Drosophila melanogaster: one gene and its partner. The protein of the gene in region 2 interacts with the protein of the main gene of each other region in a pairwise test. Each region holds a gene or a part of one and is shown on either strand. Other genes may lie near its edges.

Region 1 (6,980 bases), on a different chromosome or scaffold from region 2:
CTCTGGACGGGGCGGTTCCGGCGGTCCCTGGGGACAGGATAGGTCGCAGTCCGAGCAGGAGCACGCAGGTAGTTTGCTCTACAAGCAATTTATATATTTAGCACAAAATGAAATGAATTTCCAATAAGGATAGTAGGTACATACGCTAACTGCTTGGTTGCAAGGAACGGTCGTTACATTGAGGGGCGTAAAGTTATTGCTATTTGATTTGGGCTCATGTTGAATATAGGTAATTTGAAAAGGAACATATGGATTGGTGGCATCGCCCATAAAGTTGAACCATTTTGTAGGATTGCAGCGAGATGCTGAGTAAGCGCCGCACATTAAATCAAAAGCTAATTGACCCGTTTGCGGTACAGAAACCTATTTGAACACAAACAATAATTATTTTCGATCAATGAATAATGTATATGGAATCCAGAAGTACCTGAGAGCACGATTTATAAGTCTTGTTGATGTATTCCGTTGATATATGCAAGTCAACAGAACTTATGTACTCATCACCTGAAATTCGGAATATATAATTATTCAATAATTAATAAGCTATTAATAATGATTACCTTTCTTATTTTTCTGCGTGGCCACCACATGCATGAACTCAGCCTGCTTTGGTGAACAGGTGAATTGGCAGATGTGCCGCACCAAGTTCTCCATGCAGGATGGACATCGATCCAAGATATTTCCGGCCAGCTCCACATTCTTATTAAGGAGCTCCACCTGCAAAGGCATTTGTTTGATAATTATGACGCCTGGGCAAAGCTAATGCTACTCATAACCTGATTCTTATCGCAGCAAAATTTGTTTTCGCTATTCTCCAGCAGAAATCCACAGCGTTTCTTCAGCAGCTCCAGACCGTCAGTTGCCATTTCCTTCGCTGTTCCATTGTACGGACAGTTTTGGCTGTGCGAAAAGTCATTGGTGTTGCACACGCCATACCAAACGCAGTCCTTAAAAAGTTGCAAAATAAGTTAATAACATTATAGAGCAGAGATATGTAGAGTGAGCTAAGCTAAGTTGAAGTCTGGTTTTTAGCTATCTTTTTGCTGACCCCAAATACCTTTTTCAAATTTAAATATTACTTCCAAAACTAAGTACGTCATCTCACCGCCACCCAGAGCTATAAAAATATATATTTTTTCTAATTGCCTTGCATCTGTTTTAGCTCATTCATTGTTGAGGTGAAACAACAGCTTTTCCAATACAATTTACCAGTCCATTTTCAGAAATGATTTTACGACGACTAATCTGCGCGATTAAAAACCCAGTATGCTTAATATTGATAAAATATTGAAATTTAATGATAAAAACCAAATGTTAGTTTACCTGTTTCGATGATTGAATTAGCGTAAAGAGCACAGCAGCGATGAGGATGTGTACTCCAAATGGAGATATCCTGAGCGGGGATCTTGGACTCATTCTATCACAATCGCATATCTGTAAAGAACGTTTTTGGTTAAAGTATGCACCTGGGCTTACTATTATGTATGATATTCGAAGTAAGAGTCTCGGTTTTCGACTAAGAACTGAATCAAATGTAATCCGAGCCTGGCAAATTCAACGTTTTCGCTTACACAAATAAAGTACACTTCATGCAAATTTGCGTTTAGCCAGATGAAACCGTTTTCCAACGAATTAAATAAACATTTATTCCAGCAAACCAAATATATATATACAAAATATACAACGAAGTGAGTTTTGGAACACTTGCAACTCGCAATTGCGATATCTGGCGATTAAATTGTTGTTTAGACTCTGCAGATGCGCTGCAATTCGATAAGCAGTATTCCTAATAATAGAACTGCCTCCTAAGGAAAGAATAACAATAAAACTGATTCATTGCCACGCTTCAATATCCATTCAGTTTCAGTCAATATATATTGCTGAATGGTGTAATCAAATACTCGAAATTATAATGTAATCAAAACAGTGCACATTATATGGTTGGGTGGTTTAGAATTTCGGATAATCCCTCCACTCATTAAAATAATATATACCGATATGAAAACCAAATATACCAAAATAAAAGATTGCGTTTGTTTCGAATTTGTTTAACTTTTATTTGCCAAAATGTTTTGTATTTACAAAGAAAAATGTTAGTAAAATTTTCAAAAATACCACATGTTTTGTTAGGCATGAATATGAATTAATAAAATATTATTCAAAATTTCTAAGAATGCTAAAATTAATAGCGGAATTTTGACAAAACGATGGTTAAACTTTTAATAAATTAATATTTATAAATCTTTATGACTTTGTGTCATAAAAATCAAACTAGAATATGTATTAAAATAAATTTAAGATAAATCTAAACAATTGCATTCGTATTTAAAAAAAAAGATGAATGATTTTACTATCTTGTATACTGAAAATATTCTATAAAAAATGCATGACAAAAAGAATTGAAATAGTTTTCGAAATCGTACACCTATGATTTGTGTGCTAATTGACACAAAATGCGTTTTAATATCCAAAAAACTCGTGATCCATTAAGAGCAGTTCAAGAATTGTGACCCAATGGTCAATATAGAGTGAATCCACGAACACTGAGACCATTTGATACCGACTAGCTAGGTTAACAAGGTAGCTGGGCATGGAGCTACATACATAAGTCGGGTTTGGTCTTTGACATTGATACGTTAAATTTCGCGCTAAAACGCATTGTCGTTAACTGGCTTTCGTTATATGTATCTACAATACTAAACGACTACTGAGAAAGTGATGATGCAACTAGTTGTCTGATTTTATGGAGGGGGAAATTCCATTATGCTCGCTCGCTACGTACTATGTACAACTTCTTGGGAAATCGACACAACCGCTTCGATTGCCTTTTTTCCCTTCGCCACATGCAAATTTGGCTGGTGGTCAGTCGCATTTGGTAAATGGCATCGGGAATGGGATATGATCAGCGGATTGAAATATTCTGTGCTGGTCCATTCACGATGTTTTATTTATATATTTATTTTGCGCTATTTGGATATGTAGCTAAGCGGATGTCACGGAATAAAGCAATCTTGTAGCGAAGATATGGGAATACGGACAGCGAACAGTAGCCGCATTGAAGGGCACGCAATATAAGTATACTATCACTTTCACAGAAATCGTTAATTGTAAACATTAGTAATGCGCCGAACCAATAAAAATGTTTTCTTTGTTCGTGCACATACGTATATAGGGATATTATGAGGTGTACATATGTATGTAGCGGTTTGTGTGTATGTGTGTGTGCAATGAAGTCACCTTAGTTAATTCCTTCAGTTAATTAAATTACACGGCTTTATGATTAAGGTGCGCACGAAAATCTTTCTTTCTACTAATCTTAACAATGCAATTTTGATGCTAACACTTTCGAGTGGAGGTATATATATAGGCGAGCATATACCCTCGACAAACAATCCGATTACGGAGCTACAAACCCTCGGTCCCAAAACAGGAGAGAGTGAAAACTAACTGAAATATACAATTAAAACGTAAACACTCCCACTGACAGCTTATCAGACTTAATGGCAAAACAATCGATTGTAGTCGATATGCAGTGATTCCGAATGCAAGTTGGGAACAAGCGAATGGAACAAGAAATTCATTTAATTTTTTAAGTATGCAGTTAATAAATTAAACTAAATATAACTTAATTGTTAGTTAAGTCCCGATAAGCCGTTATAGTTTAAAATTGTATTACTCACATGGTATGCTGTAATTGTTGGTCAATTAAACGTGTGTAGTCAGGTATAATGTGGTGCTGGAATTAATTTAACTACGATTAACAAGGTGCTCATACAAGTTTACTGATTATAATTAATATCATTATCCCCTTAAATTTGTATGCATATCCTACAATGTTCTATTGCATCGTTCCAAAAATGATAGCATGCCCGAATCCCTTATCGATACCCGATACACAGTTTGTTTGTGTCTCCCGGCGTGCCATAACTAACTATCGGGCATTTCTACTTGTCATCATTGAGCTCAGCGGCTTGCATTTCAAAAGTCATGGTAAAGTGTTTATTGCGAATAATGGTGTGCTAACTGCATTTGTTACAAACTCACATCTTTGCTTTCAGTTTCGCAACCAGTACGATAGCGATGTTACTGTGTGGAGTCCGCAGGGACGTCTCCACCAGGTGGAGTACGCAATGGAGGCCGTGAAACTTGGCACCGCAACCGTGGGCCTGAAAAATAAAGATTACGCTGTACTTGTCGCCCTGTGTAAGCCGACATCGGAGCTATCGGATACCCAGCGCAAGATCATCCCAATCGACGATCACCTGGGCATTTCCATTGCTGGCCTCACGGCTGATGCCCGCGTCCTTAGCCGGTACTTGCGCTCCGAGTGCCTGAACTACAAGCACTCGTACGATACAACCTATCCAGTCTCGCGTCTGATCACTAACCTGGGCAACAAGATGCAGACGACCACTCAGCGCTACGATCGCCGTCCGTATGGAGTGGGCCTTTTGGTCGCCGGCTACGATGAGAGGGGTCCGCACATCTATCAGGTCACGCCATCGGCGACCTTTTTCAATTGCAAGGCCAATTCGATCGGATCGCGTTCACAGAGTGCACGCACCTATCTGGAGAAGAATTTGAACAAGTTCTTGGACAGTTCCAAAGATGAAATCATCCGTCACGGAATTCGCGCTATACTCGGTACCCTGCCTACGGATGAGCAAGGCAAAGATGCCGGTCAGTATGTAAGTTCATTGCACATTTCCCGTCGCGAATAGTTAGTAAATTGTGTTTTTCTTGCAGGACATCACTGTGGCCATCGTCGGCAAAGACCAGCCATTCACAATTCTCTCTAATAAAGACAGCGCCAAGCATGTGGCGATTGCCAAAGAGAATGACAATGATACGCCCAGGAACGACGATGACGATGATCGCCCATCCCCCCCAGAGGAACCAGCAGCCGGACCACGCGACCCAGAAGTCCTGGTTGCAACCGAGCAGCGTCCATAGGCATTTATAGGGCTATGAAAGCATCTTAACCATTAAAAATGTAAGATTCAAGGATACAATAAAATTGTTCATGCATTTGCATAGATCCTAAAACGGAACAAACTGAATAAATGAATACAAAAAATCAATGTTATGGGTAAAATTTTTTGATTTTAATTTTAAACCTTCATTTATTATTTATTTATAGTATTTATTAAATATTGGTTTTTCGATATAAGTTTTCCCAACTTATTTGCATTTTTCCGATTTCACAGTTCGGTCACACTGTTGGATTAAAAATATTTATCAATGCCGGTATTGAAACATTTCTACTATAAAAAAATGTTGATTGCTTTTAGTGAATGACAAGTTATCCTCTAAGATGGTTTTTATGCCAAATAAAATGTGCCACTTCAGCGGCAACTTGTATATTTATTTGCTCACACCTAAATTACAATTAATTACATAACGAGAGTGATGGCAAATGGTTGATTTAAATAATAAAATTACATGGTTTTCTCATGAGAAAATAAAATTGTTGGTGCCTTTGCTGAAGCGCACGTAAACAGTATATGTTAGACTTCAGTTTTATTTGTTTAAAAAGTTGCTTCGAAAAGATGTACCATTGTTTACAGGAGGAACCCATGTTTTGGATGATAGATTAAGCAACAGGTGTTGTTTTATAGGGTTTTATTGCCGAAAAAGAGTAAAACACTTTAATTAAACGTTGATCCTTGTTCTCGGTTTTTGCAGACAAGATGACTTTGCCCGATCTTGTAGCTGGACTTTCGTCAAATCCCTACTTTGGTGCCGGTTTTGGACTATTTGGTGTGGGCGCCGCTGCTGCCATATTGCGCAAGGGCCTCCAGGGCGGAGTGATACTGTTCCGGCGGCACTGCATGATTACCCTGGAGGTGCCGTGTCGGGACAAATCCTATCAGTGGCTGTTAAAATGGATTACGATCAGAGGAGCGCGAAAAACGCAACACTTGAGCGTGGAGACAAACTTTGTGCAGAACGACAATGGCACAATCAAAACCAGCTATGACTTCATACCCAGCATAGGCAAGCATCTGTTCCAGTACAAGGGCAATTGGATTCAGGTGGAGCGGACCAGGGAACAACAGACATTGGACCTTCACATGGGTGTTCCTTGGGAGACAGTGACGCTTACAGCGTTTGGTAACAATAAAGGTATATATTTCGATATCCTCGAAGAGGCTAGGCAGCTGGCTCTGGAGGCCACAGAGGGCAAAACCGTGCTGTACACAGCGATGGGTGCGGAATGGAGACCCTTCGGACATCCGCGCAGAAGGCGTCCCACTGGATCGGTGGTGCTGGATCGCGGAACTTCGCAGCGAATCATTGCCGACTGCCAGGACTTCATTAAGAGCTCTCTGTGGTATACGCAACGTGGAATCCCCTACCGAAGAGGCTACCTTCTGTACGGGCCACCTGGTTGTGGCAAGTCTAGCTTTATAACCGCCCTGGCGGGCGAACTGGAGTACAGTGTCTGCCTGCTAAACCTATCCGAAAGAGGCCTCACCGATGATCGACTCAATCATCTCCTGAATGTTGCGCCAGAGCAGAGTATCATTCTGCTGGAGGACATCGACGCAGCATTCGTCTCGCGCGAAGCTACTCCGCAGCAGAAATCCGCCTTTGACGGTCTCAACAGGATAACGTTCAGTGGACTCCTAAATTGCTTGGACGGTGTGGGCTCCACGGAGGCCAGAATTGTCTTCATGACAACAAACTACATTGACCGCCTCGATCCCGCCTTAGTTCGTCCTGGTAGAATCGATTTAAAGGAATACATTGGCTATTGTACGCAATATCAGTTGGAGGAGATGTTCAAGAACTTCTTCGCCAGCAGTGACACCACAAAAGCCGAGGAGTTCGGAAAACGAGTGAATTCCTTTGGACGCTCCGCTAGTCCGGCGCAAATTCAAGGCTTTTTCATGAAGCACAAACTGTCCTCGCCGCAAACTGTTATTGATTCTTGTGAAGATATCTGGGAAAATGTTTTAGATCATAATAAAAAGATT
Region 2 (7,486 bases):
TTCATGCAAAATTAGAGATGTGTTTTAGGTAGCGGTGTGCGCAGGGATGCACGATAGTGATGACAATTTGAAACTGGAAATATAACCGTAAATAATAGGCAACTTTCGATAGGACGAACTTGAAAATTACTCATTTATTTATTACATAATAAAATTATACAAAAATAAATCCTTATTTTTCAACGTTTTTTAGAGCTGCCTTAATCCAGTTGATTTCCCTTTGGTTCCGTTCCACATCTGCACTGATACAGTCCACGCACTCATCTAGAACTCTTTTTTGATCCTCAATTTCCTGGTTCTGTTTTTTGGTTTTTGTATATGTTCTATAAAAACAAATAATTGTATAGGAATACAAATTATTAAGACATTTGTAATAGTTCACACTTTGAAAGCTCATAGTATATGAGACCCGCGCCGATGCCAAACACAAAAGCCTCACTCAGCATATCAGCGCCCAATCTGGTGGCGACCGGAGTGGAGAGGGGTGGAATCCGCCTGGGCTGCTTTAATCGAAGCATACGAAGCTTGGAACGGACCTCAAAGGTGTTGTAGAGCTGGGCAGGCGGAATGATGATGTAGCGCCGTATAAAGGGATGATGCTTGCCCATCCAAATCAGAAGGTCTCCGAATGGCTTGCTAATCCGTTTCACGCCATGAATGAAAATTTTTCCAACTGGAAAACTACCAATCACCATTGTGCGTTACATAAAATTTAGCACGAATATACTGGCGACTGAGATTTCCAGGCCAATTCAGTTACATTCCAAATCCCCTGTATTGCAATATGCCGTATAGGTTTCCCTACTTCCCAGCTTGCTCCTCAGCTGATTGATTTCCTTGGTCTGGCGGGCGACCTTGTTGGTGAGGTTACCAATTCTTTCCTCCAGCTTCTCCCGATGCATCTTGTGTTTTTCGTGCTTCAACCTGTCATTCTTGGCTTGCCTAAAAGCATATTTGAAATAAGCCAAGATTTCTTCAAGATAATCGAGGCTTGCATACCTTTTGAACTCGCCTACAATCAGCGTGGCGCCAATAATGAAGATGACCATTTCGCCCAGGATATCACCGCCCATTTGGATAGTCATCGCGTCAGTGAGGGGCGGAATTAGACGAGGTTGTCCAAGTCCCAGCATCCACATCTTGGAGCGCACATCAATTACGTGGTATACTGAACATTATACTGGTTATGATGATAACTGGTGGGCATTCCACGGATTGTACTCACATCTCGCCGGAGGAGCAACAACCAGGGTTTTGAATGACTTATTCTTTTTGGCCGTTTGCTTGATCAGATTGCCAATGGGCTTGCTAATGTGCTTAATGGCAAGTAAAGCTAGTTTCGCCAGTGGAAAGACGCCCACAACCATTGTGCAATTTCTAAGTTTCGACAGAATTCCCTAAGTGCCCTACAACCGAAAATTTTCAAATTTCATATAATCAGTTTTTCAAATTATTTCTAAACTCAATTTCTGAGTCGCAATAACTTTAAGTCTGTGGATATCCAAACCCAGCAATTTAAAACATGTACTCTTTTTAAACTTCTTGTTCTTATTTAATAACTAACAGATTCTTGAAAGATGTTTAGACAGTTTAGTTTATGAATCGGTAATATTTGGCATATAAAACCCGGTCACACCTGTTACTAAAACGCTGGTTTTGTTTGTTATTAAATCTTTACCTCTGCATGCTTTAATATTCTTCCTAAAAAATAATGTCGGCACTTGGGGATTCTGATGATGAAACTGAGTTTAAAGAGATCAGCTCGACTAATTATCATCGTGTGCAGGAAAAGGTGGCAAAGGTAAGTTTAAAATGAATTTGGCGTGGCCAGCTTTCATGATGAAATCAGCTGGCTTTACATTGCCGAGTAAACACGACTTCTAAATACCCTTTCCCTATCAAGATAAGCTATGCAGATGGCGTTGCCGATGGCAGGGAAAAGGTCTTCCAAGAGAGCTTCGATGAAGGCTTTGAGAATGGCTTTAAAACTGGATTCGAACTGGCCAAACTGAGTGCCTTCTATGAAACCATAAGCAATGCGGCGGGAGCTGAAAGCTCCGAATGGAATGCAGAACGAGAAGCTTATCAAAAACTCCAACTGGCAGATGCAACAAATAAAGCACACTTCACATATTTGGAGCATCAAGGCGCTCCACTCAACGTTATATCCGAAAAACAAAAGACCTACGTGGACGACCTCCTAGGAAAACTGGCACAGCAACTCCCGGCAACTACGAATTTATTCACATCGGGGAGCGATTCTAGTGTTAATGTGGTTTAATGCATGTGTTTGGGAATTATCAAAATTAACTTGAAAGTATATCTTCGCGCGACTTATAAATAAAGACCCTCGGGCGTGCCCTCCTTCTTCCGGTACAAGACGCTCTCCTTTGACTTCTTGAAGTCCTCGTTGGTCACCTTCATGCGGCGTTCCCGCAGCGCCATCAAGCCAGCCTCTGTACAGATGGCCTTGATGTCGGCGCCGGATAGATCGTCCTTTGCCATGATCAGTTCGCTAAGGTTCACGTCCTCGGCCAGCGTCATGCGAGATGTGTGGATGGTAAAGATGCGGCGCTTGGTCTTCTCATCGGGCAGCGGGAACTCGATCTTGCGGTCAATACGACCGGGTCGAATGAGCGCCGGGTCAAGGGTCTCGATACGATTGGTGGCCATGATCACCTTGACATCGCCGCGCGAATCGAAACCATCCAACTGATTCAGTAACTCCAACATAGTACGCTGAATCTCCCGCTCGCCACCAGAATTTGAATCGTAGCGCTTTGTGCCCACTGCATCGATTTCGTCGATGAACACAATGGATGGAGCGTGCTCCTCAGCCACACGGAAGAGCTCACGAACTAGCTTGGGTCCGTCGCCCAGGTACTTCTGGATCAGCTCTGAGCCTACAACGCGCAGGAAAGTGGCCGAGGTCTGGTTGGCCACTGCCTTGGCTAGCAGGGTCTTGCCCGTACCAGGAGGCCCATATAGGATGACGCCCTTGGGTGGCTTGATTCCCATTTCCTCGTAGTACTCGGGATGGGTCAGTGGCAGCTCAACAGACTCCTTGATCTCCTGGATCTGAGTGTCTAAGCCACCGATATCTGCGTAAGTCTCTTGCGGAGCCTTTTCCAGTTTCATCACCGTGACCATTGGATCGGTGTCGTCGCTGAGAACTCCGACTACAGCGTGTACTTTGTGGTTGAGCAGCACGGAGCAGCCTGGTTCCAGCTGATCCTTGTCCACGAAGGACAGGATGCTAACATAGTGCTCGGAGCCCACCGATGTGGACACGATGGCGTGGTTGTCGTCGATGATCTCCTCCAGGTTGCCCACGGACATGGGGGTGCCGCGCAGATCGTCAACCTTAGAGCGCTCCTCCTCGTTCTTCTCGTCCTGGGGCTTCAGGCGCTCCTGGTTGCGGATGAACTCGTCCTCCATCATCAGGTAATCCTTGATGCGCTCCAGCTTGAGCAGCTTAAGGCGGCAGCGGGTGTGGGGCGTGACCTGGGGCAGCTTCATGGCCGCATCTGGACCCTTTGCGCGCCTCTTCTTCTTGCCAACGCGCGTTGGGATTGGAGGCTCGTACTTCTTCTTTTTATCCTTGTCATCTTTCTTTTCGCCAGCTCCCCCTTGAGCCGATTGGTTTTGTCCCTGCAAATGTATTGTTCCCGATCGTAAATGAGTTCAGGGTGTTCTGAAGGTGCTATTTTACCATTTTGTCTTGGTGCTTGCTGCTTTGCCGAACGTTTGATGAACTTTTTACTCTTTATTGTCGGCAACAAAATTACTAGTCATTCGCGTTAGCTGTGTTGCCGTACTATGGAAACATGAAGGTCTGGCAACTCTAAGGGTGAACAAATATTTTAAAAAAACGTGAAAATTAAAATAGGCAAGAAATGCTTAAGCAATCGGATTAAAACAATAGTAATGATTAACAACCAAAATATAAATGAATTCAAGACTTGAAAAAAGCAAATTTTAAAAGTCACTGTTTTATATACTTATCGATTACTGTAAACAAACTGAATGTTTCAGTCTGGCAACGTTTGCAATTAGTGCGAAAAGAGCATTTGTTTAAATTTGTTATATTGCGACCTTTTAATGGATCAAAATGTCAAGAATGTTGATCTTAAACTGGATAACATTGAGGTTCTGACCAGTGGGACAACAGCGGAGTTCGTGAATGGCATCCTGGACTTCTTGCTCTATCAACGCCGGCAAATCCCCTTCGTGTACAAAACATACAAATATTATGTGGATAAATGGTCAGATGCTGATGAATCGGGAGAATCCAAGGATCAGGAGTCCTTTGCTCATTACCAACGCAACCAGCAGCGCTCTAAGGCAAAGGCCACCAAGGAATCTATTAGTGACATGAGAGAGGTGAGGTTCCCCTTACATCCAGGACTTCTTTTGGTCTTTACTTGCCAGTTCTCTCCTACAGATCATCCGACAAGCCTTCAGGAGCTCTGAAGTGAAGAGCCTGCGATTTCTTTTTGGCAACAATATGTTCATGCCCTCGGAGGCCTATACTCTGCACATACCACATGATTCCATATCCAGAGATCACTATTGCGAGCACCATGCTCTGCCCGAAGGTCGCATCAACCAGGCGCTGCTCCGCCTGCTCACCTGCGAGGAGCTGTACAGGCTATTCTCCACCGAACTAAAAGTCACCAACGTGTTTCTAGAAATGGAGCTCCTTACAGACTCCGATCGACCCCAAGGATCCCATTGTGACTCCTTTAATCTAATCCCAAAGCATATATTAAGCCAACTTCCGCGCAGCTGCAAGAACATACACCTGCATCTACTGCATTGCAGTGAAAACACACCGAATGAATTACGCTGCTGCAAGGAGATGGATATTTACCACGATCTTGGCGTGCGGAATCTGGATAAATCTGGGGAAGACGTTAGCCAGACCAACGAAGAGCATGACGTTTTGAAAGCAGCAAATGAAACCAGCGGTTGGTGGCAGGCCGAGGTCATAGTTCGCGGTTTCAGAGCTCCTGGCAACCAAAAATCGGGAGATTTGTGGTCTAGCTAACATTTTATAACTTGGATTCTTGCTATTCGGCGTGTTTGTGTCAAAAATAAAGTTTCGAATCGTTTATATTTCAAGTATTAAGTTATTTTATTATGTATATAATTGTTTAATTTTATTTTTGGTTTCGATTTATTGAGAATGTTTTGAAAACCCAAGGCACTCAAAGATGATCCATCGTGGTATTGGTATTATCATCTTAGGTAGTGATAATCATGGAAACTGGTGCACTGCGCTCTCGCTGCTTGGCCACAATCTTGTTGGCTATGCGATCCAAGTTACGTTGTCCTTGCGGAGTCAGCTTACGACCACCATCCGGGTGCCTCTCCACCATGTTAGCAGCTTCCAAGGCTTGAAGAGCCTGCTCATGTGTTAGATACATGCTAAGTAATATTAAATATAACCTTAAAGTACAACCATTTCCCACTCACCTTGCGAATACAGCCATCCGATGAGCGACAGTGCTTGGACGGACGAACACCGTTGCGCTTGCGCCCGCTATAGACCTTGGTGAAGGCCCCAACGCCGGCGGGACTGCGCAGGTACAGGTGTCTCATAATAGAGGCGCAGCGAGTGTAGAACCAGTCGTCGTCGGTAGGAGCAGTCTCCTTGAACTTGCCAGTCTTCATATAGACGGCCTGTTCGGGCACAAAAATTTTTCCGGATTTTTTGAGAAAAGCAGCCATGTTTTTGGTCAGAACGTGCTGATCGATTTCCTTTACTGTGACTCCAGGCATGTTGCTCTCTACGTTCTTGAAAGCACGTTTTTAAGGCTCATGGGTCCGATATATGTATGTATGTATTTAAAAAAGTCTTACCTTTTGAGAAGAAAAAGGTTTGCTTCCGGTTAGTTTGCTGACTTTAGTCAAAATGGACGATTGGCAAGTGACGTTTGAAAGAGGGACCAGGTCATTGACCCCAAAGGATTACTTTCCGATAGTTTTGTCGTGCAGTATTGGTGAACTTGGCAATTCTTTTCGAAAACTTAACCTATAAACTTGGAAAGGAACGCAATGTAGCAAAACTACTGTTCTTGGTGACAGGGGGTTTAAGGTAGACTAACAAGGACAATTTTATGACACTGAAGCCCTATGGAGTAAGAATCAAAGAACTGCTGTATTTTGGTTTGTATAAATGAATAAAACGTTCTACGCTAATTGAAGAGCATTCGAAGAGGTTTGAATACAGCGCCATAGGGTGACCAGCTTGTGGAGCATTGAAGGTATTTCTTGTTTTAAGAATGATCACGGGATGGTCACACTAGAAATACAGCCAAACAAAACAACAAAAAGCATTTCGAGCGCTAACAAATATATATCTTTCGACTTGACTCATTCGCATTCCGGTTGACCGTGTCGCGCCTGCAGCATGTCTGAAAAGCCGACTGTTCTGATTTTGGGTGGTAAGTGGTCCCGCTGCATCCTCCTCATCGTCATCCTGCCCCCGCTCCCCACTCCACACTTCCGCTTATCAGCATCGCTGACTGCATCGCTGCTCTTCCTCTTCCCGCAGGCTGCGGCTTCATTGGACGCAACTTGGCCACTTATCTGCTGGACAATGAACTGGCGCAGGAAATACGACTGGCCGATAAGACCCCTCCGCAGATGGCATGGCTAAACGAGGAGCAGACGCGGGTCTTCGAGAGCGATCGGGTGGAGTTCTGCAGCGCGAACCTAATAAACGCCGGTAGGTAATCACTACATTAGGGTGGCTCGTTCCACCAGGATGCGGATCACAACTCCTATGGAGATCCAAAATCCGCAATTAACATTCTTGTGAAAGGAAAGCGCTATCGGATATAGAATTTTCAAGTACCACCTTGGTATCGCTGCGCGTAACGAGCCACCCTAATGCATTTGTTGCACCTAAACTGGTTATAGAACGCTTCCCTTTGTTTTCATACAGCCTCATGCAAGGCGGCTTTTGCGCCACACCCCACCACTGGACGGGCCTGGGACATTGTCATCAATTGTGCGGCCGAGACGCGTGCCAACCAGGATGATGCCGTATACAAGGAGGGTATCCTGAAGCTCAGTTTGAACTGCGCCAATGAGGCGGCTAACCAGCGGGTCAAACGATACGTGGAACTCAGCTCTGGTTGTGTGAACAGCAGCGAAAAGACGCCGTTAAAAGAGGACTGCAAGACGGATCCCTGGACGGGCGTGGCCAAGCAGAAGCTCAAGGTGGAGAAGGAACTGGCCAACATCGACGATCTCAGTTACACGGTCGTCCGTTTGCCCGTGGTCTATGGCATTGGCGATAAGCGCTATTTGAGTGAGTGTCCCTCTTCGCTGATACCCGATAATTGATGTAATTGACAAAGCCCATGGGTTAATCCCGAACCCACCACCCATTGCCTTTCGTTTACAGTGCCGCGCATTATAATCGCTGCCATATACAAATACCTGAACGAGACAATGAAGCTGCTGTGGAACGATG

The links. The genes of interacting proteins can lie anywhere in the genome.
Region 1: the proteins of Rpt2 (region 2) and Prosalpha6 interact in binary tests that used the Drosophila melanogaster proteins (3 or more experiments, as listed by UniProt).

Annotation. Positions count from the first base shown.
Region 1 is NT_033779.5:10,217,456-10,224,435, forward strand, and holds Prosalpha6 (proteasome alpha6 subunit), read left to right. Parts: upstream 1-3,895; 5' UTR 3,896-3,987; coding exon 3,988-3,990; intron 3,991-4,058; coding exon 4,059-4,688; intron 4,689-4,746; coding exon 4,747-4,953; 3' UTR 4,954-5,091; downstream 5,092-6,980. Other genes in the region: Npc1a (Niemann-Pick type C-1a), read right to left, coding at 1-78, 145-363, 428-504, 561-717, 777-947, 1,324-1,416; Bcs1 chaperone, read left to right, coding at 5,691-6,980. UniProt on the Drosophila melanogaster protein: The proteasome is a multicatalytic proteinase complex which is characterized by its ability to cleave peptides with Arg, Phe, Tyr, Leu, and Glu adjacent to the leaving group at neutral or slightly basic pH.
Region 2 is NT_033777.3:23,927,612-23,935,097, forward strand, and holds Rpt2 (regulatory particle triple-A ATPase 2), read right to left. Parts: upstream 3,948-7,486; 5' UTR 3,716-3,947; coding exon 3,713-3,715; intron 3,652-3,712; coding exon 2,335-3,651; 3' UTR 2,282-2,334; downstream 1-2,281. Other genes in the region: CG43998 (uncharacterized protein), read right to left, coding at 173-323, 385-695; CG43999 (uncharacterized protein), read right to left, coding at 753-942, 1,000-1,168, 1,226-1,367; CG31142 (uncharacterized protein), read left to right, coding at 1,712-1,801, 1,904-2,281; CG13599 (uncharacterized protein), read left to right, coding at 4,102-4,383, 4,445-5,050; RpS19b (ribosomal protein S19b), read right to left, coding at 5,247-5,408, 5,479-5,784; CG5854 (uncharacterized protein), read left to right, coding at 6,416-6,449, 6,560-6,733, 6,953-7,321, 7,418-7,486. UniProt on the Drosophila melanogaster protein: The 26S proteasome is involved in the ATP-dependent degradation of ubiquitinated proteins. The regulatory (or ATPase) complex confers ATP dependency and substrate specificity to the 26S complex.